Linked DNA regions of Coturnix japonica. The protein of the gene in region 1 binds, or shares a complex with, the protein of each later gene. Links are inferred from orthologs where the notes say so. Each region holds a gene or a part of one and is shown in the gene's direction. Other genes may lie near its edges.

Region 1 (10,208 bases):
GCGCAAGCAGCTGCATACTTGGGACTTCTTGGGGTGAAGAGAATCTGTGGAGCCTTCCAAAGACACATGACTTCTTATCCTGTTGCTGTTTCCCTGTTCCTGTGGGTGCAGCGGATGGGCACTCTGGTGGCTGGTCAGGCACAGCTGCAGGGGTCTCTGCTCCCACCTTCCAGCCGTGTGCTTGGGCTCTGCAGCCCCCACCACGTGGCTGAGTGAGGTGAAAGCAAACACACAGAACGAGCTGTTGCTGCTGTGGCGTAAAAGACCTCATTGAAAGACTGATACGCACCTGCTGCGAAGCGGGCTGATCTGTGTGGTGAGGTGGATCCCAAGGAGCTAATCTGAAGTAATTAAAATGAGATGTATTTATAGAGCAGCCTGGGTGTTTTCATCTATCTTTGTTTTTCCATCTGAAACAAAACAGAACAGTGTACTGAATTCTTGCCCTTCAGCTGTGTTTCCTTACTGCACTGTACAAACACTGTACTGGGGAGAGGGTGGACCTGCAAAGGCACCCTGCCTGATTTGGAAGCAGGCGCCACGAAGGCTTTTTTCCACGTGCCAGAGCTACAGACTGTGTGCTCTCACTACCTGTCTTCAGGGTAACATTAGCTTTCATTTGCTATGTGCAATCCACTGAAAACAGATGTGTTTGTTGCAGCGGTGGCGGGGTAAGCTCTGTAGAAGAGCAGGCCGGTGGAGAATGTAATTAAGTTTCATGTTCTCAGTACTCATTATGAAGTCCACAGCTTGTTGAAATGGTGACCCAGGTACAGTATATGACCTGCTAAATCCTTAATCACTAACCTGTGTGTGCTGGAGCTCTGTGCTGGAAGGCTGCTGACGGATCTCTGCATTCCAGTGACACCAACGCTGCAGAGCAGTTCCTGTGCCAGCAGAGCACAGGAGCTGAGGTTCACTGGTTAGACCGTGGTCCTGTCTGCACGTTTGTGGCTCAGAACAGCCAGGAAAATCTTCACGAAGGAATTGGCTGCTACCAGCATCTGTCTGGACCTTATTTTGGTGTCTGGGATGAGCCTCTTCTCTCTCTCCGTGCTGCCCATCTTGATTCTCCCTCTCTCGTTGCTGTGCCCTCTCTGCTGCTTTTGCAGCCCTGCAGCATGTTTCTGTGCCTTCCATTCTCTGCATTCAGTGGCATCTGCATTTGGCCCTGGATGAAGACTCTCCAGCAGACAAGCCCAGGATGTTTGCGTTTCTTGCACTGTGTACTGGCAGTCCTGACCTCTCAGCATTGTTCCGAGCCTCATTTGCTGAATGTAACCTCACTGTCCTTGAGTGAGTCTGGTTTCTTAATTGAATTTACTCCCTTCTTAGGAAATGCCTGATGTGACATTAGATAAGTCTAAAACAAGCCTTTTTCTTTCTGAAGCTCTCCTGGCAGTTAGTCACGGCTCTTTTTCAGTTTCCTGAATCACTTAGTGAGGTGAGGAGGAAGAGTGTGCTTCCCCCTTGTCCCACCCTGGGACAGGCAGCTGCTTATGTTCTCTGCTCGTTTGCTGGGGCTGTGCACTAAGGCCAGGTTGCAGCAGAGATGACGAGCATGGAAACACTGCTTTATGCTGGGGGGGTTACCCAGCTGCCCCTAGGAAGGCTGTGGGGCTGCATGAGCTGTCTGCTTGTTTGCTGTTTATACAATTTATACAGTGCTGACAATGACAAGCTGTAGCTTATGATAAAAACAAAGACTTTATACTGAAACGGTCTTCCTTATCTTTATGTGCTGCTTTATAGCACTTAGTGATGTAATCACAAGATTGGGACATCTGAGCATTGCATTGCCCAGAGGTGCTTACATGAGAGCTGCACCGGATTGGAAGCCCTGGGGTGCTGGGTAGGAGATGTAATTAAACTCTAAAGAGGCAGCGGGATGACCTCCAACTATAACTTTCTCTGTACCCAGGGCAGCTCCTCCCCATGTTCCACATGCATGATATTAGGGCTGTACATAATGCCAGAACAAGGCAAAGAACAGAAGATGTGTTTGTTGCCACACACAACAGATATCGGCTCAGGCAGCCTGCCCTGTGCCCACTGTGCTGCCATCCCTGTGAGCTGCTCGTGCAGGGTGTTGTGGTCTGCACTGCTGCAGAGTGCCCTGAGCTCCATGAGCAATGCTGCCCAGAGCCTTGTGCAGCAAATGCTGCATCCCAGGGTGGGGGAGTAGCAGCAGCCAACCCACGGGACTTCAGTGGATTGTGGGTCCCCATTTCTGGGCTTTGAGGTCACAGCCAACGTCTGGATGTGCTGATTAGGGCTCATGGGCTGGGGCAAGGTGGAGCACGGGGGGCTGGTGCTGAGATAAGGTGCTATCGCACTGTGCACATTTGGGTTCTGCTGTTTGGGGTGGGGGGGGAAGTTGAGAGGATATTTAATTTCATGCAGCTAGTTAGGATCAAGAGTTGCTTCAGTTTGATAAATGTATGAGTTGGGATTAATGTGCATGCAGGTCATGTCTGTGACTCTGGGCTAAGGAAATCCTCAGCAGTTATCTGCCTGGGGCTGCAGCTGCTGCTGAGGTTGCAGTGCTGTCTCCTCCCACAGCTCTGTGCTGTAGAGTATGGGGCACACTGAGCTCCGCAGGTGTGGGGTGTTGCAGTCAACAGGGAACGTTCCCTGCAGCACCTCTGGAGGGGATGTTTCACACTCCTCAGGTCCTCCTGGGGGGCTGCTCAGCTCTCGCTACAGCCCTGCAGGCACACAGGTACCCCTATGTTTGGCCCCAGCCCCTCTGTTATCCCACCCTGAGTTTTGGGCTCAGAACAGAAGAGTTGTTCTTTGATGAGTGATCTAATCCTGAGCAGAGAGACTGTAGTTCCCTGCTCTTTTCCCAGCAGCCAAATGCGTGTGGAAATGCTGAATGGCCTGATTGCAGCGGCTGCTCAAAGCACAGGGCTGGCACCAACACTGGGAGCCAGGAGAAATGTCACCCTGATAACATGCAGGACTGCGTGTGTTTGCTGAGCACAGTGAAAGCACTGACTGCATGGGAAACTCCTGCTTTCAGCCCCGACCCAGCTGCAGCATGATGTCCTGGGATGTGTTGGGGGGCACTTGCATCTCTTTGCAGGGTCACCTGCTACTGCTCAGCCCGCGGTGATTCTGTAGCTGCAGGGAAGAGGAAATATCTCCAGTGCTCACTGCAGAGGTGTGGGGGTACAGCATCAAGGCAGCTTCGTGCCCAATTTCTTCTCTGCAGGGGCTTCATCTGGGGCTCTCATTCCCTGCTCCTCTGGGTCATTTCCAGGCATCTCATTTCATGATGAAAACGTGATAATGGGACACGAGCCTGCTGGAAAAGAGACCAAGAGCCCTGCCTGGCTCTGCGTGTTGTACCCTCGCTGAAGAGCCCAGGCTGCCTGCCAGCCTTGTCCATGTCCCAGTGACCTGGCAGAGCCTGGGGCTGGGGGTGCTTCAGGGCTGCACTGTTGGCTGGGAACAGGGCACAGCTCAGCACTGTCACTGGGTTTTCCCTTCCTGGAGGTTTCCCCAGTCCTCTTTCTAGGGGAGCATGAAGGTACAGAGTCCTGCCTGTGTGCAGGGGGCTGTGCAGCCTGCCCAGGACTTCTGTGGCAACAACACTCAACACGTGCTTCTTCATCCATCCAGCTGGATGGGGATTCGTGTAGCTGTGGGTGAGAGCAGCTGGATTCTGCATCACAGCGTTGGCACTTTAAATCTGCGCAAAGAACACGGCTGTGTTAACATTTCAACCCTTAATGTTTCCTGTACCGCTGAGTAGAAACAATCTGACCTTAGGGAAAAGAAATTAACGCTAGAATCGATTGCTCTGTATTTTGTGTAAACAGCTTTACAGGGTAGAACAACCTCATCATTTACACTGTGGAGACAACAAGCTCTTGTCCAGGCTCCTGGTGAGCGTGAGGCTGAAGGATACCTTCACATCTTAGTATTTGTGTGACCCTCATTTCAGGAGTTCACCTGGTACTGAACCCTGAGAGCAGCAGCTGCCCGGGAGGGCAGGATCTGACAGCACGGCAGTGCCCAGGACAGTGACGTGCAGCTTCAGGCACCGGCACTGCCCTGAAACTTCTCAGCTACAGCTCTGAGAGCGGCTGAAGCAAACACTGCCCCGGAGCCCAACATGGCCGCACATCACCTGGCCCTGCACGGACCCATCGCTGCTGGAATGAACGAGTGGGATCACTACAGCCCTGCCCAGGCACAGGGGCTCGGGGTCGATGTGGGCCCTGTATGGGGGAAGTCCTGGTGCTGGCGGTGCCCGGTGCCCGTCCCGGTGCTTGCTCCAGTCTCCATTCTGGTGCCCGGTGCCCGCCCCAGGACCTGATGCCTCTCGGTGCGCAGCCCGTATCCCGCGCCCATCCCAGCGCTCGCCCCGATGCTTGGCACCGCACCTACAACAGCGCTCGCTCCGGTGCCCTTCCCGTTGCCAATGCCCACCCCGGTGCAACGGGGACTGGGGGGCGGTGGCCGCGCCGGGGAGGGGCGGGTGCCGCTGGGCGTGGCCACGCCGGTGCCGGGGCCCGTGTCGGGGCTCGGGGAGCTTCTGTTTGCGGGGTGCGAAGCTGCGGGAGCTGATGCTGACGGTCGAGCCCGTCGCCGCTGGAACCATGTCCCAGCCCGAGGCGGAGCGGGCAGGCGGCGGCTCCCCGGTGGAGCCGGGGCTCCCCGGTAGAGCACCGCACCGTAACCGTAACCGGAGGCCATCGGGACGAGACTCCCGCCGCGCTTCCTCCCGCTTCAACCGGCGGAGTTCGGTGGAGCTGGAGCTGCTGGGCTACCCGGGGCCGAGCGCGGGGTCACCGCCGCCGTCGGACGCCGCGTCTCACCGGGAGCCGGAGGAGACGGAGAGCGAGGAGGTGGAGACGCGCGCCGTGGCCACTTCTCCCGACGGCCGCTTCCTGAAGTTTGACATCGAGATTGGAAGGGGCTCCTTCAAAACCGTCTATAAGGGGCTGGACACGGAGACAACAGTGGAGGTGGCGTGGTGCGAGCTGCAGGTACGAGGGCAGGGTGCTCACCTTACGGCACGGCACAGCTCGGGGTGACGCAGCCCAGGAACAGGGGCACTCAGGCAGGGGCTGCTCGGCAGGGAGCCTCGGTCCCCCCGCAGCGCACCCAGCGCTCTCCGCTGCAGCGGTGGGGCTGGGAACGTGCGGGGGGTTTGGACCCTCCGTGCGCTGCCGGTGCCCCGGGGTTCGGCTGCGCGCTCAGCCCCGCGCTCGTCGTCCCTCCCACCGTCGCACGTTGTTTTCCCGTTGCTGTGTCGCTGCCTGAGCTACGGAGCGCTCATGGGGCGCCTGCTGCCCCTGCCCGCGGCTCCAGCCCCGCTCTGGGGCAGTGGGGGAAAATCCGGGCTGGGCTGCACCCCGCTACTTTCTGTGCTCATCAGCTCACAGATCGTCATTTGGAAGCGCAGACAGGGTAGGGGAGCCGTCTCAGTGCCGGAGTTGGCTCGGAGGTGCACTTCGTTAGCTCTGGGAAGGCTCTGGAGCAAGTGCTGCAGGTAGCCGGGGGCTGGGTGCGAAAAGGTGCAGGGTACAGAACGTCCTTGCTGCACGTCAGCTGCTTGTCCTTGGTTGAAGTGGTGCCTGTGGGCACCCACATGGGTTTCTATGACGCTTCCAGGTGCTCCCCGCTAACAGCATCTGAACCTGTGGCTTCCCCATCTTCTCCTCCACTGCTCCCCAGCAGCAGGATGTGATGCTGGGCAGCTGAGCACAGCAGTCCCCTCCTGCGTGTGCTGGGAGCAGTTCTGGCTGTGGCAGTGAGGCTGCAGTAGCAGATCTTGGCAGTGGGGCTCCAGATTTCTCCTTGCAGCCCCCAGGGAGGGGCTTTGGTGAAGTCCAAAGTCTCCAACAGATTCCTGCCCCGGGGGTGGCTGCTGCAGCTGGAAGGTCCAAGTCCTTGTTTACAGAGAAAAACATGTCTTGCAAGTTTGTTGTCTTGTTCCTAAAGCCTTGGCGCGTCCGCATGGGATGGCTGCAACCCAGTAATGCAAGGAGAGATCCTTTAGATAATGGTGTGTGACTTTTGGAGGGGTGACTACAGCCTGTGAGAGGAGGATGTGGTTCTAGGCCTCAGTATTGTGAGATGGGGCAACTGCTTCAGATTCCCCAGAGCCGCTCAGTGCTCCCCTTTTGCTATGCCCATGTCTCCCTTCTAAGATCCCTGAGCTCCTGACTGTGCCCTCACCAGCACAGGAAGCCACAGCTCAGTGCTGGTGAGAGCAGCATCTCTGCTGAATGTGGCTAATAGAGGAGCCGCTCATGCCCAGCACATCCCACCTGGCTGCCTCACGTTCCTGCTGTGGGGCCATGCCCGTGTGCCCCACTGTGCCCCAACTGCAGCCATAGCAAATCCTGGAGCTGACAGCACAGCTTGGTACTCATGTGCACTGTGCTGGGCTGCATCCCCTTGCGTACCCAGCGTACCGAACCAGGGTGTCTGTGGGAGTTGGGCTGCAGTCCCCAGCACTTGTCCTGCAGCTTGGGCTGGCACCGTGTGCCAGTTACATTCAGGTGCCTGGGGATTAGAGCAGCACCCTCTGGGTGGAGCAGAGGCAGCCCCAAAACAGTCCCCTCTGCTCTTTATTCAGTGCTTCTTGTCCCCAAGTGCACATCCCGTGAGGGTCTGGCAGCACACAAGCAAACTTGTTAAAGCTTGTTTTTTCCAGCAATCATGCAAAGAATCAGACACTGTGACACAAATACAGGATTTGGAACCGCAAATAAAAATGGTTGTGGTTCTGCCCCTTTAAAAATAGCTTTGTCCCGTGTCTTTCACAGTTCTCCTTTTATTACCTTTAAAATATAAATGAACACCTAACCTCAGCCCTGAATGCAGTTCCGGTCCCAGGAGCCTCATCCAGCCTCCCAGTCTCAAATCCTGGCTCTTGTCCTGGCCCTGTCTCACCACCAGGTTGCCCAAAGCCTTTTCTCTGCCTTCCTGTAGGACCCCTTGGGGGCCTCTTTGTCCCCACTGCCCGCAGCCCTGTGCAGTGCTGTGTGTCCCTGCATCCCACAGACCTGCCATGACCTGTTGTGCTTTCCAGCTTTAGATTTGAGACTATTTCTGTTAGGTGCTGAGGGCTGGGGGAAAGGAGGAAGTGGGGAGGAAACCAGAAGCCCAGAGTGGGATTGAGCTGTAAATAAGTTGCCCATGCGTAGTTTGTCTGTGGGGACCCCTCTGGAGGGGGGAGGAGCAGCCCTATAGGGCGGGTGCTGCCATGCTGCCAGAGATCTGCTCTGGATCCTGTGCTGGTGGGAGGCTGAGAGCTGAGAGGGGAATGCTTGAAGGGGGTCGGAGGTTTGGGAATGGAGCAGGTGGTGCAGGCACCCACTAGGAGAAGAACTGGGTGCTCTTGGATTCCTGTGTGGCTGCAGGGACTGTGTCCTCAGGGCTCTGAGTGCCCAGAGCCTGTGCCATTCCCACTGAGCACCTCTACAGATGGCCCTGGGTGCTTCTCCTCCTGGTGTGACTCTCAGCTCTGCACAGTGCAGTCTTTCACTGATTGATGCTGCTGGGACCCTCTGGCTGAGGTGAGCAGCACACGATGCCACAGGCGCTGCTCCAGCTCTGCAGCTGTGCACACTAGCAGCCATCTCCTGGCCCTAGGATGAAGCTGGACTATTTCCCCAGCACTGCGCTGCCATCCCCATCGTTCTCCTCTTCCTCCTCAGAAGGTGTCTGCTAGGAAAAGACACTGTGTCCCAGGCAGACAGCTCTGCTGGCAGCCCCAGCTGTACATTGTGTGCTGCCCTGCACTGCGATCCCAGCCTGAGTGTCTCCAGTGGGACTGGGGTCATGCTGGGTACCACTCACCCTGCAGGGCAGGGCAGAGCCCTTGAGGTGCCTGTCTCCATCTTTGGAATGATCCATCACAGGCTTGAGGGAAGAGTGGGGCTCCCTTTATCTTTGCTTCAGGCTCCCTGGGGGACACGTCCACATGCCACCCTGGTCCCCCTTCACTGAATGTAGGGAGCCACATTGACAGTCCTTGAGCCCTGGCCGCAGCCTGCACAGCTGCCCCGTGGCTCCATGGGGTGCAGCCAGACCTCTGAGCTCCTTGAAGCTCTGCAGTAGGTGGTGGTGGGCTGGGGGGGCAGGGTGTGTGCTGGGCGGCTCAGGGGCCTTGGGGCGCTGTTTTCCTCTCTGGCTATGAAAGATCCCATTCATCCACTGCAGCAAGGCTCAAGTTCTCCTCTGGGCTGAGCTGGGTCCCTGAGCATGTATTAAGGAAGAGAGGGGATTATGGAGCAGCTCCAGCCCAGCCATGGGGCCAGTTATGATGCAATGAAAATATTACAAAAGCTGCTGGATGGCGGCTGGCAGCCAAAGAGCTGTGCTTGGGACAGGCAGCACCCAGCAATGGGGGCACCTCGCTAATGCTGTTGGCACTGCTGCCACCTGGGCTCCTGGGACTCTGTGCCAGCTCCTGGGCTCTGTGCTCCCTGGTCCCTTTGGCTCTGTGCAGAGTAAAGGTCATTGCACCAGGGCTGTGCTGGGGCACGGGGTGTGGGGCACGTTCGTGCTCCTTCTGCATCCCCATGTTCTGCTGTAGAGGGCCCTATAGGGTCTGCATCCTCCCTGCAGCCCTGCTCAGTGCCTGTGTCAGCTCTCTTTGGCTTCAACTTTAATTAACTCTAGCTGGAGGAACATGGAAAAACCTGGGCTGGAGCCTCCCACGCCTGCTTTCCCCAACAAAGGCCTCATTGAGGCAGGCCGGCTCCCTGCCATGAAGGTGCCTGGTGCCTGCAGCTGCTGTGCAGCAGCGGAGGGCAGGAGCTGCCCAGGACAGGGGCAGACAGGTCTGCACGAGGCAGAACAGCAGGTTGAGCACTTAGAAGTGTGGGGCTAGCAATGCCCATTCTGGTGCTGGGCACCGAGCATTGGCTATGGGTCTGGGCAGCCGGCTCAGGGTGGGTTTCACACGCAGCTCAGCACAGGGGGATCCATCCCTCCCTGGCCTGATTGATGAGGCAAGTGGCTCCGTCAGAGCCATGCACGAGGCTGAGCGCAGGGAGGGGGGTGGGATGTGACAGCTCCACAGCCCCATGTACCCCTCACTCCCTCCTGCCCCTGCAGACACGGAAGCTGTCTAAGACAGAGCGGCAGCGCTTCAGCGAGGAGGTGGAGATGCTGAAGGGGCTGCAGCATCCCAACATCGTTCGCTTCTACGACTCCTGGAAGTCATCCGTCAAAGGGCAGATCTGCATTGTGCTGGTCACTGAGTTAATGACGTCTGGCACTCTTAAGACGTGAGTGGGGGCTGATGGATCAGAGTGTGCAGGGAAGAAGAGGTGAGGGAGGGCTCTGCTGTGGAGCGATAGCCAGCACATGGGCTGGGGGGGCCCAGGGTGTCACAGGGCAGCGCTCACTCTTGGCTCCCACTGCTCTCCTGGCACTGGCATCTTGGCTTGGATTTAGCTGCATTTTCTGTGCTGCCTCTGGGAGGGGGTACAGGGAGCCCCTGGCTGCTGCGTGCTGTTTGCAGCTCAATGGTGGTGGTGGGATCATGGTCAGGCGTGGGGAACGGGGTTGTGTCAGTGTCCGTGGGGTGCTGTGGTGCCAGCCCTGCCCCCTCGCAGCTACTTGAAGAGGTTCAAGGAGATGAAGCTGAAAGTGCTGCAGCGCTGGAGCCGCCAGATCCTCAAAGGGCTGCACTTCCTACACACTCGCTCACCCCCCATCATCCACCGTGACCTCAAGTGTGACAACATCTTCATCACCGGCCCCACCGGCTCTGTCAAGATCGGGGACCTGGGGCTGGCCACGCTTAAACGTGCCTCCTTTGCCAAGAGTGTGATAGGTGGGATGGGGTCATGGGGGGTGTGGAGGTGTGTGTGGGGACAGGCGCATCATTGTCCATGCTGTGTGCTCCCAGGAACCCCAGAGTTCATGGCCCCCGAGATGTATGAGGAGAAATATGATGAATCCGTTGATGTATATGCCTTTGGGATGTGCATGCTGGAGATGGCCACCTCGGAATACCCCTACTCAGAGTGCCAGAACGCTGCCCAGATCTATCGCAAGGTCACCTCAGTGAGTGCCTCAGGGCTGGAGGAAGGGGTGGTGTGGTGGGAGCTGCTGGACCGCGCTGCTCCAGAAGTATTCCACTCAGCAGGTTATGCAAGAAGCTAAAATTAGACTGGGAGCTGAGAAGGTGCTCAGCTCCATGAGCTTTGCCAGGGCCAGCAGAGGGTAGG
Region 2 (9,448 bases), on another chromosome or scaffold:
TGGCTCAGGGAAATTAAATCATTTGTCCATTCACTCGCTGCACGGCTTCGGGTGGCCCAGGGTGGGACAAATTGCTCCTGGCACCCGGCCTGCTGTGTGCTGGATGTCAGCTCCTGGCGCAGCTCGGGGATGGGCAGGATGGCATGGCCCACTCTGCTGCGAGGACTTGGTTCTCTCCTTGGTTTTGCTGCCTTACTGAAATAACAGAGTAATTCTGAAGCGTAACAGCTCTCCGTGTAGTGGGAGAAGCAGGGTTACGTAAGTGGGCTCTGTGGTCTGCGCAGCTCAGTTCTTTGAGGCAGGTTGTGTTTGCAGGCAGTGGAGGATCCTTGTGTTTCTGATGTTAGGAACGCGTTGGTGTTATCTGTGAGTTTGTGTGGGGGTGTGAAATCTTTCTCCTCTGTATTAATGGAGCAAAGTTCTGTGGAAGCTGACTCAGTTTGAGAGATGAGTTAAAGGCAATTGGCCGTTAATTTTTTTTAAACTTTTATTTCACATTAGTCATTTGGGAAGAGCTTTAAATAGCATATATTGATTTTACCTCTTTATTTAAGCGAGTTGCTAGCCAGATAAAATGCAGTATTTTCCTATGGCGAGCTCTTTGGTATAATATGAAATTCACCATTTCTAGTAAACCTGAGAACGTTCATCAGGATGCTTTAGAAAGAGCTGCTTTTCATGCTTTATAGGAAGATCTGGTTGGTCTTTTTCAAAAAGAACAAGGTTTGTGCTTTTAAAATACACAGACCAACGTGGTGCAGTGGAGGCTCAATGGAGGCGTGTTGTTCTGACCTTTACTTTGGTGTTCAGTAGAACTTGCTGCGTCCTCTCATCTGCATCTCTTGCCTGCTGGGAAATAATGAGTCTTTGGATGCTGGCATCGGAGTGCTAACAAATAAATCTCAGTGGCACGCTGCTCTGGATTAAAGAAGCTGTGTGATTTTTGTGTGCAGTGCTTGGTCTGGGATCCTGCAGGGTTGGTCTCTGACTGTGACTGTAAGCAGCATCCAATGGGCACAGGTGTCTGCTCACCTCTTTCAGTTTCATTTTCCCTTTATTTGTTTGCTTTCTGTATGTACTTGTGCATTGGAGACTGAAAGCTTGGAGAAGCCGCTCACGCTTTCACATCCCTGCTTTGCCCTGCTTGGCATGGCACAAGGGAAGGCTTGGCTGTTTGAAAAGCAAGGCTGAGATTTTAGAGCTATGGTCAAACTTCACTAGGCCAAAGGTTTCAACAGAGGGTGTTGATCAGTGTAGCACGGAGGTGCAGCTGAACATGGTCACATCACAGTGGTGCTTGGAGGCTCCTGGCTGCAGTGGGGCTGGATGGGAGCTGGATGCTGTGTGTGCTGTAGGCTCACTGCTTTCCTCAGGACACAAAACCTGGCTGTGTCATTGTCTGCTGCCAGCCCTGTGAGTGCTGAATGTTTAACAAGGGGTGCCCTCCCTTCTGGCTTGTCATCTGGCTGTACTGGGCTACTGACCACAAGAATGTCATGTTTGGTAAAGGGAACACATCGCGGGCTGTAAATAGTTAATAATTGTGTTTTGTAAGGGAGAAAATTACTGTGTTTGAAGATACATATAATGTACAGGCATTGGCAGGGGTCAGTAGGCTGTTCTGGGGAATGACCCTACCCTCTTTGCTGGCTTTATACCCTTCTTCAGAGGCCGCCTGTGGTACAGCCTGGATGTGCAGCTGTTGGTTTAACCAGCTTCAGCTTGTTCTGTCCTGAAACAAGCACAGTAAGAAAGGCGACAAGGAGAAGGGTATGAAACCTGAAGCTGATGGGGACCGTCCTTTGGAAGGAAAGCTCTGAGCAGGGCTCCAGGCTGCTGGGTGGTGGTGATGGGGTTACCTCCCAGGGTCAGCCATTCACTTGGAGCTGATATTCAACAAGGATGACCTTGCTCAGCTTGTTTTATTTGCTTTTGCCTGCTGGAAGGCTCGAGGTATGAGCTGTAGATTTAGTGGAACAGTTATCTCACACTAAAATGCTGCTTTGTTTTACAGGTGGGAACCTTAAGCTCCGAGTGATTTTGTGCGTTTTGGAATCATAGAGGTGGTGATATTGACCTTATGTCAATTCTGTGCAAAGAGCCAACACTCAGAACAAAGTAATGAGGACACGTATGTGCCTTAGGCACCTGTTGGCCTGGTTAAACACAGCACAGAACTGGGTGCATCTGGTTTTACATTACCTATACAGCCTGTAGTTCTGCCGGGAAAGCCGAGTTTAGTAATTCTTTCTATACATTTCAGTGGCACTAAATAGACCTATTTCTAGAATGGAAACGGAACGTGGCTGCTGCAGAGCTAATGCTTGGAAAATCTGCAGGTAGTTTCAATAGTCCTTTTCTATTTGCCTCTATGGAAGAAGATGTATTGTATGCGTTGGTTTTTCAGATGAGAGTGAAAAGGTAAAACTTCTCTTTCTCTACAAACTATATCCATGGAACTCCTGCAACTCCCAGCGCTGGAGTCTATTCCGATTCAGTCAGGCAATTATGTTCTGGCTTGAATTTCAGCTTACGCTGCTTTCCTGGACTGCAGCCTGTAAGACTGGGCTTTGTCCTCGAGTGTTTGGCACTTCTTTTTCTTCCCTGCTGATTGGGTTGTTTGGCTTTCCACATCAGTGCAGAGGTAGCTGCGTTTTGTGACGCTCTTCATATGGCAATCCTGGTTGGACTAACAAATGTGCAAGCAACTCCATGGATAATGCTCTGTGCTGCAGTTTTATGATACCTGTTAATTTTGAAGCGTCGCAGAATCAAACTCTGTGCTCTTGTTTTGTTCCTCTTTCCAGCATTAAGCAGAGTTCCCGATCCTCTGAGGCAGGTGAAGATGAAAAGGACCAGCGCACAGTGACGGTCAACCCCTCACACATGAGAAAGGCATTCAAGGTCATGAATGAATTGCGGAGGTACGTTTCTGACTTAATGGGCATCCTCTCTGATTTAAAGGTGCTGATTGAAACAGAAAGGCTTTAAAATAAATAGAGAACTCTCATGGTTGCATGGAGGGTATTGATGAGCAAGTGGAAAGAAGCAGCTACAATATAGCTGCATTGTGGTGGGGTGCTGTGCCCGTTCTCACATTGCCTGTCTTCCAGTCAGAAGGAAGCCAACAGCAGCTCAAGAAGTTATTTGAGTGATATCCTTCACTGTAGTGATGATAATTCATGTAGCATTTTCCATTACTTACAGCAAATTTAGCTGTAAACTATGTTCTTAGCTGGGCTAATGGTCTGAAAACCAGTAACAGAATATTACAGACAGAAAGACACCTACACATAATTACAGACCAGGGACTATGAATGTACTGTTCTTATTCCGTTGAACTGGGGCTGTTGCTCAATCTGGGCTGAGCACTTCAAAGTAGGAAAAAAGCCCCACTAACAGCTCAGGTCTCTATGTGGAAATTAAAAAAAATGCCATTGTCAGTTAAGAAGGAACACCCTGGTGTCTTTAAACAGCTGTGTGGGCATAGGGAGAATGGGGGCTGAGGAAATGTAAGCAAGCACAGTCCTTACGAAGCAGTTGCTGGTGTGATGGCAGTAGTTAAACCTGTGCTGGTTTTCAGCTGTTCCCCCAAGAACCAGGCAGAGGCTCAGGGAGTATTTCTAACAGCAAATTCATCTGAGTTGTTTGCCATTCCAGCAGTCACAAGCTTTGAAAGAAGTCCTGTGAAAAAATACGTGTCGTACACATTTGTGTGCTCCCTCTCTCCAGATGGCACGATGAAAGCAGATAACAGCCTTTACTCTTTCTGCATGCTCAGAGTACTCCAAAGAGGCTGCTGTAGCACCTCGCTTCTGTGGATTTAGTAGTTTCCCAATGTCTGTTTTCTCCAGTGCAGAGAAGGGTGAGAAATGTCTTCTTCCAGATGTCTCATAGGGATTCTCAGTTGCGTAAGGAGCAGAAAATGGAGATGTCCATCCCTTGTAACAGTTAAATGAAGCAAAGTATGGTTTTTTAATATTGGCATCCTTCTAGTCGTCTCTTTGTACTGAAAGCAAAAGATCTGAAAATAGAGGTTTGTGTGGCTATATTCAGAAATCTATTGTGCTCCTATTATTCCTTTGTTAATTGAAGCACAGTGGGAATAGCTGGAGACTGACAGTGTTTCTCAGTGCCTGCAGTCAGCTAGGTCTTGTGTAATGGTGAAGGGATAAAACATACAGGATAGAATAGAAAGCTGCCCTTAAGAACCTATTTGATGTTTTCTTTTTCTAGGTACCCTCCTCCTCAGCCCCTGCTGCTGTTCTGGAATATACAGTTCTCATGTCTATTACACTTGTGATCCATTAAGCTGTCGACAGTCAGTGTTAATAGCTACCTTGAATAATTGTGCCTTAGGTCAAATGCACGGAGAAATCCCGAGTGGAGATGGAGCAGTCCCAAGCTGAGGGTCACCAAGAATCTTGCTGAGCCTTTAGCCTATTTGCAATATATTGCTCACTTGGAATTTTTAGCTTTCAAATGTAAATTGAATTAACTTTAACGAGCGGTACTTTAAATAACTATAGTCCATAGAGGAACTGAATGGGGCATCTTTTACATAAGTTGGAGGAAACGGAAGCTTCCCTTAAGAGCCGATTCAAAGAGCTCCCATTACTGCCCTCATCCCTTCCAAAGGAGGATGAAGGTAGAACAAAGATTGTCAGTTCCTACTTTCATTCTGTTTTCCATCAGTAACCCTCCATTTCACAAATCATTTTGTTTACTTCTTCCATGGAGTAGGAGGAGGAGGAGACATGCCAAGACCATGGGGAGTTTTGTATGTATTTATTTGATGTGTAGTTTCCCGGGAGAAAGCACAGCATTTTGATAAGCATTTCTGATGAGACGGCTCCATCTAGATTTGCAGGCACTAAACTATTTTTTTTTTTTTTTTCAGGCTTAACATTTGAAAAGAACGCCTTTATTTTTGCATTTGTATGCTCAAACATCTTAAACCAACTTATTGGGAGGCTGAGCACTCCTCACTGTCTGCATCTCCAATCCTTGTGCAAACATTAACTAATGAATCCTCAAAGGACATACGTGGGGCTGCTAGGAAAGGTCACTGATTAATGAAGTGGCTTTTCTAAAGCCATACAGTGATTCAGTGGGGAGCATAGAAGTTATTTGGTTGTGTTTGGAACCCGTTGTTTTATTCCTGTGACTCTTAATCCCACCTAAGTCATGGGGTAGGGAAGTTCTCAGGCCCAGGGGTAAGCTGCAGGCCTGACTGCTGTCCCCTAAAGGCTCAAGTGCCTTGTTCCTAGCAGTAGGACTTCTGCTTGCTTCTTCAGGCATAAAATGTACTTGTTGTGTTTGGGTTTTTTTTTCCTTACCAGTTCTGAAACAATCTTTGTCTATTCTGGTGTTTTTCCAGCAAACGACTGCTCTGTGATGTAGTGATTGTGGCAGAAACTGTGGAGATGGAAGCGCACCGCGTGGTCCTGGCAGCCTGCAGCCCTTACTTTTGTGCCATGTTTACAGGTACTCTGCAGCAGACCCTGCACTGGGGCACGGTAAATGGGCTTGGGGGCGGCATCAGGCTATGGGGGAGCATGCAGAATATCACTCACACAGGAAGGTTACTGTGGGGCTTGGTTTGCTGTGGGTGGTTTTTTATTCCTCAGCAAATGCTTGGGTCGTGAAACCACACATTGTTAACATCAGGCACACGTGCTGTGCCCTGTTCACATCAAAGAAGCTGCTGGCACAAAAGTTGTAGTTTTGAGGCCCAGCCCTGCAGATGCTTATTCGTGGTCACGGATGTTTAATCTCCCATGGCACTTGTTGCTGCTGCCCAAAATAACACTGTGGTTCTCTGGATCCCAGTGTGCATTAGTAGCTCTGTGTTTTTACTTTGTTTTCTTGCAGGGTGCATTGTTACAGCCCCGTGTATTTTGGTAATGGCAGATGCAACCTCAATGTGAAGGGAAGGAGGGGGCAGAATTCTGGCCCCAATCACCTGATCCCTATAGGCCATGGCTGTCAGTGGGTGGGACAGCAAGGAGAGCTGTGTTGGTCCCAAGGCAGGCATTAGCCAACTTATTTAGGTCCTTCTGGTAACGTCAGTATGGTCAGGAGCACCTTAGCTTCCTTTCCTTTTCCTTGTCCTCCTTTCTAGGATAGGAACTGACATAACCAAGGTAAATGTATGCTGCAGAGAATGGTTGCCATGGTCTCAGAGCTTCAGCTCTTTATGGTGTTTGCATGTGCTTTGTACTCCTTGGTCTATGGCCTTGAAGAGTAGAGAGCCTTTTCCAGAGAGATCCAACAGTGTCAGCTTGGCATTGTGGGTGCTTCTTGCTTTTACAGACCTTGAGGTTAGGCTTTGATTTATTTGCCATACTAGAAGCAAAATGCAGAATTTCTTGGGAAAAAGCCTCTTGTTTGTGCATCTTTCCTTCCCTTCCATAAGAAGCTTAAGTGTGAACCAATGTCTGAATGTTAGACAAGATGTGAAGTTTGCCACGTGGCTTTATCTGTGTGGGTGCAAAGGTAAATGGCACTGCTGCTCTGTGGGGAGCCTTGGCACTGGGTGCTTTGGGGAGGGGAGTGTTTGTGATGCTGGTTCCTGACAGGAAGGTTTAGAAGTAAAAAAAAAATCACTGGAGAACCCTCTGATCCTTAGAGGTCACCTGACAGGAATGCAGTGGTGCAGAGCAGGGCTGGGGCTGCTCATGTTTCCACGTAGGAATTCTCCAGAAGTGTAATCCCTCATGCAGCAAGTTAACCAGTAATCAGGCCCCGCAGTCACGCGGCTGCTCAGTGTGCCCTGGGATGGGTGGCAGCCGTGGGGCCCCAACACGGCCCTGCAGGCAGTGGATCGGGCAAGGACCAGTTGTCCATTCAGTTCTGATCCCAAATTTCTATGGACTGGGTCTTCTTGCAAAGCTGTGTTGGTTCAGTTTCTAAAAGCCAAATGTTTAAAGTCTCAGCTTGGCTATTTGTTGGGATTTATTTTTCAGCTATGTATTGCACATCAGCAGTGTGACTTGGCAGCTGCACCTCTGTGCGTGCATGCTTGCAGAATGGATGCAGGATGCAGGGGTGCGAGCAGCTTGGGCACACTGTCCCTGCTGGAGGAAACACTTCTTGGGGAATGGGGTGGATCCTCTGGTCAGGATAAAGCCTTGAGCAATGGGAAATGAACCACAGCTCAACCCCAGTGTCTGATATTGAATGCATGTGTGTTGCTCCCTGTAACTGGCCTGATCTTGGACTAATGGATGGCCTTCTGATGATCATTCCTTTGCCATCTAGTGACCTGTGGTTAGGCCTGTCTCTTGACGAAAGCCTTGGGAAGTCCTGCAATAAACAGGCACTTGTTCCACTTGCATTCTCCACTGCTTGAAGGAGACACAAGACCCAGCACTTCCTATTCTTTATTGGTTTTCTTGAGTGTTTCAGGTGCACGGTCCTTGTTGGCACCACAACTGGGGGTGATTGGTGACAATAATTTCCATCAGTATGGGAAAACAAAACCACGGTAATCATCTCAAGAAGGACTACAGATACTATGGAGGTGGGGCTGTTACTATGAGTAACATGGGAGGATTTCAGCATTGCTGTGGGAGGAGGCATCCCTCCCACATCCATCCAACCCAAGCCATTCCTCTTCTTCCAAGAACTTAAGGGCTGAGGTTTTGGGCCTTTGTCTTATTGTTTTCATTAGGACATGTGGCTGGAGGGCTCAGGTCCCAGCCCCACTGCCCCTGCCCTGGGACACAGTGTGACTTTCTTTGTGGCTGTGGGATGGTATCAGAGCAGAGCCACTAGAAGATGTTAGCATGCAGGGCTGGCAGCTTGCTGGTGGGTGTAGAAACCCACACAGCCTTTATTTTTGTTGGCTGTGTCACGTGAGTGCACAAAGACAACCAATGTTATCAGATCAGTCCCTCTGAGCTATTTCTGCATCAATCCTAGAGGAGAGTGTCCCAGCCCCTCTCCTGCCCACTGGTCCCAATGGACACTGTCAATGCAGCTCTGCTTTGCCCCTCACTTGTGGGATTTTGACTGGGTCCTTCCAGGCAGCTCCAGCTCTACCTGGGCTGAGCTGAGCCCTCTCTTCTCTGGAGAGATTTATATATATATATAAATCTATAAAATATAAAAATAATATATACTATATATAAATATAATTATTTATTTCACAGGGTGGGGAGAAGTTTTGGGGCTGAGAGGTTTATTTCACCAATTACAAAGCCCGACTCGTATCCCTTTGTATATTTGTATTCATGGACTTCTCTTAATAAAACTGTTATCAATTAGTTTTAAAAATTGAAGTTGGAGCAAATATTATTTCAGCCCGTGTTTCCCTTGGGTTGTTGTTGGCCCTTCTCATGCTTATGGTCTGACCCAGCTCCTGTTATCTGCCTCCTCGTTGGTATAAGTGAAGACCCAAAGGTTTAATGTCCAGGACCTGGGCTTTGCTCAGGCTCAGCCCCCTGTTAGCACCCTGCTCCATGCTGTGTGCTGTGCACTCAGTGTGCCTGGACACGTCCTGTGCTCCGTATGGAGCTGTAGGCTGTAATTACTTCTCACTTAGGCTGCAGAAACTATTTTTCCTCTTAATCCCACAGCAGTATTGAGTCACCACATTTCTTAGCGTAGTGATTATTCATGCTCTGGTTTAAGAATTAACATTTATTCAAGCTCTGTTTTGTTTAGATTTAGTTTTTCGTTTATTGTTTCCTTTTTGCTTTGGAGCTTGCTCTTTCTGTTCTGTGCTTCTTGGAGATCCTGCTGGCCAAGCCTGGGCTGGGTGATGTCACTCTGTGCATGAAGGCTGGAAGGACCCAGGGGGTCCACTCTCCTTCCTACAGCACACTCTGTGCACACTGGATGTACTCTTGTTTCCTTCAGCAGGTTTCAGGTTATTCATCAAGGAGGGCAACACTACCCTACCTTTATTTTGTGCAGCATGCCACAAAGCACCTGAACGTAGCTGATGCAGCTTTACTTATCTACCTTTATACATGTATTTATTATAAATAGTTGAATAAAATGAGCCCTGCTAAGGCTTGTCCAAAGTCTCTTTGATCCTGTCTCTGTGATGAGACACAGCAGAGGGCCGCGCTGCTTTTTCAGTCCCCATAGATGTTTAAATACAGCTGAATTTGGCAGGTTGTTTTCCTGCAAAACATCAACCTCTTTGTTCTTATTGATGAGTTTTATCTTGTGTAGTGTCTTCTAATGTTGAGATGTTCTTTAGGTGGCATTAAGAGGCTTCTCAGAATCTCAGTCTTCATCTTTAGATGGTCAGGAAAAGGGTCAGGGCAGTCATTAGGTACCAGCAGGATGTGCTGGAGGTGGGGGGGAACAATGGCCTGAGAAGAGCTCCTGCACAGCAAACTGACTGTCCTTTTAAAATACATTTCAGGAGACATGTCTGAAAGCAAAGCCAAGAAGATCGAGATAAAAGACGTGGATGGGCAGACACTGAGGA
Region 3 (9,448 bases), on another chromosome or scaffold:
ACAGGATGTGTCCTGGAATCTTTTTTGCTATATTTGTGTGTACTTCCAAATATAAAGTTAGCAAAATGAGAATTAAGTAATTGTCAAGGACAAGTATAGAGTAAAACCACTGAAAACATTAAATCAATATGGTTGCTACTGTTAGTAGAACATATAAAATATTCTTTTTTTTTAATCTTTAGAGAATCTTTAGAGACAAATACTATATATAAGTACTTTTACCTATATAAAATGTTAAGCTGCAGCTTCCAAGTATGACAAAATAGCATACACATGGAAACATATTCACTCTTCTACTACTCTAATGCTTGGTTTGGTGTGACTTAGTGCTGTATGTTAATGTACTTTTTTTTTTTTCTCTCCAAACAGAACAGCACTTCTCTGATGTTGTGCTTAGTGAAGAATACCTCAATCTTGGTGTAGAACAGGTGTGCAGTCTGATATCCAGTGACAAACTTACAATTGCCTCAGAAGAGAAGGTAAGTCCACCTATACTACACTATTCTTTCGTATAAGAAAGTAAGCTTGTTCTTACTGCTCCTGAAAACCACCTGGATAAGTTCATTGTTTCCTTAATGAAATTAAGCACAAACTATGCTAGTTTAAAAGATTTTTCCCAAAAGTATTGTCAGTTTGGTAAAAGTCGTAGAATTGTATTAAATCACATAATCCTTTATTTCTTGAAAAAACAGTCAGTTAAATGGAAATTCCTTCTCACTTTCACCAGAACAAAGAGAGTGTGCGCTGTAAGTCAGCATACAGGTTAAACCAACTAAGAAATAGTAGTCTGAAGAACAAGTGAATGCCATCTACTATGACATAAGCAATCCCAACAAAGACTAAGTGAACAAATATGCGTTGTAAAGGAAAGTAGCTTGATACAACCAACCTTGAATTTGAAGAAGTTTAGGTTCCGCTTTAGGTAGATCTTACCCTGCCGAAGCTTGTGGAACTGATTGAGTCTAGCAGATATCCTTGAACCTCAAACAATTTTTTGCATGTGCAGAGGCATCTGCTTCGAGTCTTTGAATCTAGTTGTGATCAGTTAAAAATCTGTTTTCCTTTTTCCAATGAGTATGTAGCTGTACTGGCATCTCTGCTAAAATGAACTTAAACTGCATTTTAAAGCGTGTTTCAGTACTGATTTGATGTCTCAGTTGTGTTTCATGTTAAAACATTTTTTTCATAATGGAAATACTCTCAATCTAAGAATACTCTGGTTAAACTGCAGTTAACAAAGTCAAGTTGCAGTTCCCATAATACTGTGAAGGTCCAGATGTTGTTGGTACATACAATGCTAATAAGGTTTTAATGCTCAAGTATCTAATCATCTGTTGTGAAATAGAGGAGAAACAAGATTTGGTGTTGCTGGTAAGACAGTGATGATAAGTCATTTGAGTGATGGTGTGGTATGTCAGTTCTCTAAGACAAGAAGAAAAATATGAGCACTGTGATATCTCTGCTACATTGTTTATACGGTAATACTGGTTTTTCAGTACTAATGAAATCACTGTGTGCATTTTGTCAGTGTAGCACAACTGCCCCTATATTGAATAAATATAGAAATAATTGGAGCTGTAACTGCTATGGTCTTTTCTTACATTAGAAAAGTAAAAGCTATTATTGGAGACAGACTGATACTTTTGTACTCACGGATTTGTAAGTCAAGGGACTTGCATTTGTTTGTTTCCTGGAAGGTATTTGAAGCGGTGATAGCATGGGTAAACCATGACAAAGATGTAAGGCAGGAGCTAATGGCACGCCTGATGGAGCATGTCCGGCTGCCTTTGCTTTCCCGGGAGTATTTAGTTCAGGTAAGCAAAAAAGAATATTAATTCTTTAGCACGTGAACAGTTGTTTATTTTTTTAATGTCAGATGGATAATTTTAAATTTAAACAACAGTATCACGTAATGCATTACTAATGGTAAAAAAACAAAAGAAACCACTACCACATGTGCACACGTGTATGCATGCGCACAGTCAAATAAGAGATTGCCACATAAAGGATGCCACGTATAATTAATTTACTTGCTTGGATGACTGCTTGTCATGGCATACTAATAATCTGAATGAGATAATTTTCTGAGATCAGGGTAGCTTTCATATGTAATACAACTTTGATACAACACTTCCTAAGAGGAGTTTAAGTTTCAGAATTATATCTGTTAAAATGTTTAGGGATCAGTGACAATGTTTCTTTACCTGGTTCATATATAAAATAAATATGTATGTTAATTTTGTGAGATCATGTTGGTCATGTTGACTATGTCAGGTCAGATATTTAACACTGAAAATACGGTATCACCGTTAACATTAATAGGTAAAGTAGTAGGGTGGTAGTATTTAGTTTTAGAAATTCTGTCTTTATTATATGAATTTCTTCCACTTCGTTGTTGCAGGCTGCTTTAAATTCTTTTCTCTCCTCCAGTCTACCTTTAAGCATTTGTATTTGAAAAGCCACGAAATGTCTGGTTGTGAGCAGTCACTTGCTATTGCCAAATGCTTTTTCTTCCACTTACTAATTAAGAGAATCTACATCTTCCGATTTCTTCTCGATCGCTGCATATTGCCAACAATTACATATGTTAGTGCCTAAATGGTTAAACTATTAGCTAAAAAATTAAGGTAATCTGTATTTTTTTCTGTGATAGAGGCTTTATTACACCTCAGAGTGTGATTTGTGTTTTACTTCCTTAACGTGCTCAGATCTTGTTAAACCTCTATTAATAAACAGAGAGTTGAAGAGGAAATACTGGTTAAGAACAGCAGTGCTTGTAAGGATTACCTCATTGAAGCTATGAAGTATCATTTGCTGCCAACTGAGCAACGAGCGCTGATGAAAAGCACTCGAACGAAACTGAGAACACCTGCTAGCCTTCCAAAAGTAAGACCCTAATTTTTCCAATGCACTTATTTCTTCAAATTTCATTTTAACAAATATGATGACAGCATTAGTATCACTTAGTCCAGTAAAATAATTCACATCAGAATAGATTGTCTCAAAAAATATCAGAAGAGGTTAGCTTTACAATCCATATAACCTGTGAAACAAGTTTTGTTGTGCTCTTAGCAACTGTAAGAGTGGAGTAGAAGATTCCTTTCAGCAGGTTTAGCACTTTTACCTCAAAGGAACCAAATAAGGCTGTTCTGTGATGGATGTTCACAGTACTGTTGAATGTCACAGCTACTAAATTATCCTACCTGCAGTCCAAGTATGATGTGGAGACACAGCAGAATCTGCCTCGTTCATGGGAGCTTTTAATTCTTATTGGTTCCTGCTTTTGTACCTCAGATATTTTTTTCTAGACAGAGCTAATAATTGTGTTTTTTGAAAAATGAGTAATGCCTACTGCAAGGCCCAAATTACTTTTTTAGAGGATCACTCTTTGGTTTTTAAAAACAAGTGCACTCATATTTACAAATAATTAACAAATGTTATCTCCTTTTCAGTTAATGATGGTAGTTGGAGGGCAGGCACCAAAGGCCATTCGCAGTGTTGAGTGCTATGATTTTAAAGAAGAACGCTGGCATCAGGTGGCTGAGTTGCCTTCCAGAAGATGTAGAGCAGGTAAATAATGTCCAATATCTTATGGCATTGGTTAATGCTTCAAACTTCTTGTCTACATAAAGCTTCCTACACTTGTTCGATCAGTCATTAAAATAGTTATTTGAGAAGGGCTAAGTCTAGTCTTCAGCATCATCCTTATAATGTGAATGACGCACTTGCTTATCTAGACACATACAAGTTTGATAATTTGAATGTAATTTGTATTTCGGCTCATAATGAGATTAAACTACTTCAACTGCCAGCAATACAGAGGATAAATATATTAAAATACGAATACATTATAGTAATTAGTAATTCTATTACTAACATACCTTAGTAGTATTATGTTAGATGAAGAATGTAAAGAAATGTCCACCTGATACCAAGAAGATGAAAATGTGATCTTAAAGTATTTGAGATATCTAAGGAAGAAGTAATTCAGCAAGCATCACTTTCAGGAATGTGAAACACGAATAACAAAAAGTATCACAACTTCTAGTACTTAGATTGAAGGAAGGGTGGCTCTATGACACTGCCTTTGTAATGACAACTTTCCCATTTTCCTGCTCTAGGAATGGTGTACATGGGAGGCATGGTTTATGCTGTTGGTGGTTTCAATGGCTCATTAAGAGTTCGCACAGTAGATTCCTATGATCCAGTGAAGGACCAGTGGACAAGTGTTGCTAATATGCAAGACAGAAGAAGCACACTGGGCGCAGCTGTATTAAATGGACTTCTCTATGCTGTGGGAGGATTTGATGGGAGTACAGGTATATTTGCCTTTACATTCTGTTGATAAGTTTTCTTTACTCTTGATGCAACGGTATCAAATATTTTGTATCTCTTACCTGTGATGAAAGGAATGGTGAGGATAGCCTAGAACCTTGTTGTTTGAGCATGCTTTTTAGTTGTCACATCCTTCTACTCAGTACTGAGCTGTGGGCTGTTCTCTTTAATAGATTCTTTAATAGCTACTACTGATGAGCATGTGTACACGGGAGAAAACATTTTCTCTTTATTTAAAGAGAATGTGGTGACTGTATTTGGCTATTTAAAGTATACCAATTATCCCTTTTGCATAGTAGTTAAGTTTAAAATTTATTTGATTTTACAGGTAGGAAGAATCTTCTGGAAGGTGTAAGGTATGTTGCTTCTAGATTTGTAGAGAACATAATGTTTTATTGTTTTCATAGGCTTATCATCAGTTGAAGTTTACAACTTAAAGACTAATGAGTGGTTTCATGTAGCTCCAATGAACACAAGAAGAAGTAGTGTTGGAGTGGGTGTTGTTGGAGGTAAGTTTACAAGTAACATTAGAAATGAAGAGGAGAAATGCAATCATTTACCTTATTGTCTTTTTTCACCTGCTTCAGATTTTGGTTTTTGCACAACCCTGTCATTTAAATGGTGTGAACAAAACACAGTCTTTCTACTTTGTTTTGGCAAGCTTTTAGTATAGGTGTTGTAATGTTTTTTTCAGTTTCAGCTGTGTATCAGATGTGCCTAAGGCCAACCAGCAGGAAATGTGCTAGCCAAGTATGCTCTGTATTATGCACGTCAGCAAAGATAAAGAGCCTGTTTACTGAACCTATGTCCAGAAATTGGTCTTCAGTGATGTAACTTTGTGCTGTTGGCTTTGTTATCTGTGGCTGATGTGTTCAAGGGCAACTTGGTAGCAAATAGCTTGGTCGTTGCTTGTGCAATGCAGACCACAGCTAGTTTGTGCGTCCTGAAACAGTTTCAGGCACTTCTTTATTTTAGCTGCATAGGAGCCACTGTTTCTTATCTAGAAAACTGAGACTATTCAAGTAATTTTCATCTGAATTTTTTTGATGTTCCTAGAAAGCCTTGAAGTGAGCGAGCAATGTTAGATGCACCTGAATTAGTTTGCCTTTGAACAGTTCTTAATTAAAAACAGAGAAAAGTGCCTTTATATTTCAGCTAGGCAATTCACAATCTTTTGACTTGCGCTGTTCTTGTTAGATACAAAAGCTGCCTTTTACCTCCTAGAAATGACAAGAACCACAGTGTATTATCATGAACTACGGACAAAAATAGAAACTTGCAGTAACCAGTTGATACAAGTACTGGGTAGCAGCTAACTCAGAACAGTGACATCCCCTCCACATGTTTAACAGTATAGTCCATGTGCATTAGAAATGTACAGATTTTTCTTGATTACCTTTATAGGTAAACTGTATGCAGTTGGTGGCTATGATGGGGCATCACGTCAGTGCCTTAGTTCAGTTGAATGCTATGATGCCAATACAAATGAGTGGAGCTACGTTGCAGAAATGAGCACTAGAAGGAGTGGAGCAGGTGAGTGAACAAAAATCAATGATCATAGTAAAACCGAAGCAGATTTGTGGTTTTAAATTTTACTGGAAATATAAAAGGTAAGCTGAAGTCTGAGTGTAATGAAAAATATTAGTTTTAGATGGCAGACTTATCTCAGGTTATAAATACAGAAGTGTCTTGTAGAGTAAAATTTGGTCTGCTTAAATATTTTCCTTTGCTTTTTCATACTTTTCATGCTCTACCTATAGTTTCTGAATTTTACAATGGACTACGCATGGTTATTACAGTCATTGTAGTATTAGCTAAATAGTGAATTATCAAAATTTAGACGCCCAGGATGAGAAATGTCATTTCCTCAAAAACCATCTCTTTGCCAGCATTTGGCTGATTTATCTAATAGCATTTTCAGATGCACTTTTTATGTGAACCATAAACTAGATTTCCACTTCTTTTTGGAGTATTTGTTCTTCATTATGGTTTACTGCAGGAAATTCTGTCCTTGTTTGTTCTTAAGTTTGTATTACTGATTTCATCTTTCTACTTCCATTTATGTACCCTTCGTTTCATCTTCAGTAATTCTTCTCACCACCTGATGTTTAAACCCTTTAGATATGTACAATTACTACATTATCCTTCCTTATAGTTTATCCAAGGTAAATCCATTTATTTCTTTAGAATCCTAAAAGTACTTATTTTTTTTCATGGATTTTTTTTTTTTTTCCCTTTGGGATTCTGAATATATCTATTTCCCTTCAGAGACATCAAAAGTGCCTGTGGTATTCTGTTCTTGCTTAATGAAATGATGTTTCCAGAGCTCCACACTGACTTTAGCATTTTCATTATCTATAATGGACTCAACTCTCATTTACTGTTTGCTGTCCTCTATTTGTCTTTTGGTATTTCAGGTTTTTTCAACTTGCTGAAGTTGTTTTATTTCTCTAGATGCATCCAACATGAACTTTTTCAAGTCAAATCGCACAGTATTATTTTTCTACATTTATATTTTCTCTTAGGTCACTTTTTTGTCAAGTACTCAACGGTGCTTTTTAGCAACACCTTTCAAATATCAAATATCTACCTGTGATTGTGCTAACCTGCTTCATAATTGGAAGAGATGTTGCTACAAATAAAATAGATGGCCTTGCAGTCTGCTCTGTAGATGACTGATAGTTGTCACAACTTTTCATCTTGCCTTCCATTATTCTTTATTAATATTGAGTAGTTTTTAATCTGTGTAATGATGTTTAAAGTCAATCCAAATTATTTCAGTAGGCATTATATAAAAGTATTAAAATCAATACTGAAATTAAGCTACTTAGTTTGTGATATTTCCTTTAATGGTTTTACAAAACTACCAAGTAGACAGGTCCACTATTGCCAAAAATAACATTTTTGTTGTTTTTAATTGAAAGCTATCACGTTAATGAAATAAATCTGATATGGTACATCTTAATAAAAGCAGTAGTTTTCTTGTGAGACTTCTAGTTACTTTGGTTGTATACCATGAAAATAAATCCCGGATTAAAGCTTGGCCAGAGCTGCAGTAAGGCAGCTGTCTCATACTGGCAAGTTTTGAGGAAGATGTTTACATAAAACAGCCAAATTACTTGAATGATCACGAAGACAAATTGTGTTGGTGGGCTGCTAAAAAGGTTCATTTTGCAGTCTTTGAGCAATGCCCTTTTATCTAAGTTTAAAAAATATAATAATTAAATGGGAAAAAAACCCTTACAACCTGTTTTTGCAAACTGTCATTGTGCCTGCAGCCTATTTATATACTGGATATTTTCAGGTGATTTTTTTTGTTTGTTTGTTTGTTTTTAATTTTTTTTCTTCTACAAGCCTAAAATTTAGTGCCTTAAATGCAACAGCTATAAGGATCTTTCTGCCCTGCCCCTCTCCTCCTGTTCCTTGCCTTAGAATTCAGGACCTTGTTTACATACCTGTGCCGCTTTTTACCTTATCTTCTGTTTAAAAAAAGAAATAGAGAGGAATAAGGTGAATCTAGTCAGTAATTTTAGGTTCACGTAATTGAGGAAAATAATCCAACATTCTTTGGTGCCACTCGTAAATGCATGGAAAATTGTATTTATGCTTGGGGAGGAGTGGGTGGTAATGTGGAAAAATCGTGACTGTTGATTGAGCTCATCTGTCAGCCAGATATCTCAAACCACTATATCTGCTTCAACTGGTGGTCAGTCCTAGTGTTTTTAGGTACTTGCTAAAAAGAATTTTGTTCCTGTATTAAATCTATGGATCTCTGTTCATCTCGAGGAACTTTAGCCCATCTCTTCTGTTCCTACTGCTTCATCTTCATTCAAAAGCAACTTCAGAGGTTAACCCTCAGTTAATCTTCTCTAGTACCAACTGCATCTCAGTTGATCAAGTGGGGACAAATCTGTTTCCGGCAACATATTGGGATGAGGAACTTCAGATTCAGATATAGGCCGTTTGGGAGGGATGAGAGAGGTAAGACAGGGTCCTGAAAAATGGGCAGGAAAGAAAAATAACAGGAGAACTCTGAAGACGGCAACAAGAAGATACAGACGGAAGGAGCAAGAAATAAGGTAGGACTTGGAAATGGGGTGTGGGGTTAAGGGAAAATGAAGGGCCAAGGAGAAATGAACGACATTTTCAAAAAGAAAATGAATTGCCAAATAAAAAATGGCAATATGGCAGAGGAAAACTATATATGCTATATAGGCAGGTCAGAAACTGGAGAGAAAACTCAGGTGGGGAAGAAAAATATCAATGAAGCACATTCTTTTTAGTTATTTGCTTGATCTATGTCACGTTGCACATTTAAACTAAAAATCTTAGCCATCCTAGCTCTATCATGTTTAACATTACCAAAGATGAATGTTGTATTATCCTGTCTAATAAAGTGAGATCAGAGTGGGAGAAAGAAAAGCTGTCACTTTGTACTGTGACGTGATAGCTAGAAATAATAGCAATCAAGGAGGAATTAAATTAACAGGGATGGGTACAGGCAAATGTCAGTAGTGAATGTCACTGACAGAGCACTAGATAGCATGATTTATAAATCAGTGTCATATTAAGACCTACTTTTCAGATTTGCGATACTATTTAACTCTTCCATGTTTCCTTCCCCTTTTCCTTTAGTTATTGAAAGCTGTTGTTGTTTTCTATATGAGAATTGTTTCCGCAGGATTATTTTCTCTTCCCCTCATAGTATAGGAATGGCCCATACTCACAATCTTAGTGATATATTTTTCAAAGATGTTTTGGCTGGTTTTCAAGGTCTCAGAACATTTTTTTTTCTTAAGCCACATTTTTTTTTTTTTGGTCTGAAAAACTTCATATTTGCCATTTCCTTTCCTTTTTAATACATGTTTTAAGCTGTGCCCTTTTTGTGGAACTCTTTAATAACTATCTTGGCAAATTTGTATCATGCTATTTAAACTTTACAATCTCAAATATAACACGTAATAAGTTTCCCGGTGTACTTTCATAGTAATGATTTTTAATTATCTTTATGGTCCATCATTTGCAAGTTTTAATGCCAAAAAATTGCACTTCTGAAACCCAATATGTTTGGGTTATAACAGTGCATTATAAAGTGAGGCATAAACTAACAGGC

Evidence for each region.
Region 2: the proteins of WNK4 (region 1) and KLHL3 are in contact, whole or in part, in a crystal structure (PDB 4CH9), measured with the Homo sapiens proteins. The link is inferred for Coturnix japonica from reciprocal best matches to the Homo sapiens genes WNK4 and KLHL3. Residues at the interface, in NP_115763.2 of Homo sapiens: Glu557, Pro558, Glu559, Glu560, Pro561, Glu562, Ala563, Asp564, Gln565; in NP_059111.2 of Homo sapiens: Arg339, Phe355, Gly357, Ser358, Leu359, Arg360, Thr386, Phe402, Gly404, Gly407, Ser432, Tyr449, Gly451, Ser481, His498, Arg528, Tyr577.
Region 3: the proteins of WNK4 (region 1) and KLHL2 are in contact, whole or in part, in a crystal structure (PDB 4CHB), measured with the Homo sapiens proteins. The link is inferred for Coturnix japonica from reciprocal best matches to the Homo sapiens genes WNK4 and KLHL2. Residues at the interface, in NP_115763.2 of Homo sapiens: Glu557, Pro558, Glu559, Glu560, Pro561, Glu562, Ala563, Asp564, Gln565; in NP_009177.3 of Homo sapiens: Arg345, Phe361, Gly363, Ser364, Leu365, Arg366, Thr392, Phe408, Gly410, Ser411, Thr412, Gly413, Ser438, Ser439, Tyr455, Ser487, His504, Arg534, Tyr583.

The regions. Positions count from the first base shown.
Region 1 is NC_029542.1:4,638,613-4,648,820, forward strand, and holds the start of WNK4 (serine/threonine-protein kinase WNK4), read left to right. Parts: upstream 1-4,577; coding exon 4,578-5,000; intron 5,001-9,087; coding exon 9,088-9,260; intron 9,261-9,590; coding exon 9,591-9,811; intron 9,812-9,886; coding exon 9,887-10,044; intron 10,045-10,208. UniProt on the Homo sapiens protein: Serine/threonine-protein kinase component of the WNK4-SPAK/OSR1 kinase cascade, which acts as a key regulator of ion transport in the distal nephron and blood pressure.
Region 2 is NC_029528.1:3,623,944-3,633,391, reverse strand, and holds part of KLHL3 (kelch-like protein 3), read left to right. Parts: intron 1-2,807; coding exon 2,808-2,924; intron 2,925-5,380; coding exon 5,381-5,487; exon of another isoform or gene 5,488-5,519; intron 5,520-9,382; coding exon 9,383-9,448. UniProt on the Homo sapiens protein: Substrate-specific adapter of a BCR (BTB-CUL3-RBX1) E3 ubiquitin ligase complex that acts as a regulator of ion transport in the distal nephron.
Region 3 is NC_029519.1:20,947,519-20,956,966, forward strand, and holds part of KLHL2 (kelch-like protein 2), read left to right. Parts: intron 1-369; coding exon 370-479; intron 480-1,697; coding exon 1,698-1,814; intron 1,815-2,736; coding exon 2,737-2,886; intron 2,887-3,452; coding exon 3,453-3,570; intron 3,571-4,121; coding exon 4,122-4,319; intron 4,320-4,742; coding exon 4,743-4,844; intron 4,845-5,739; coding exon 5,740-5,868; intron 5,869-9,448. UniProt on the Homo sapiens protein: Substrate-specific adapter of a BCR (BTB-CUL3-RBX1) E3 ubiquitin ligase complex that mediates the ubiquitination of target proteins, such as NPTXR, WNK1, WNK3 and WNK4, leading most often to their proteasomal degradation.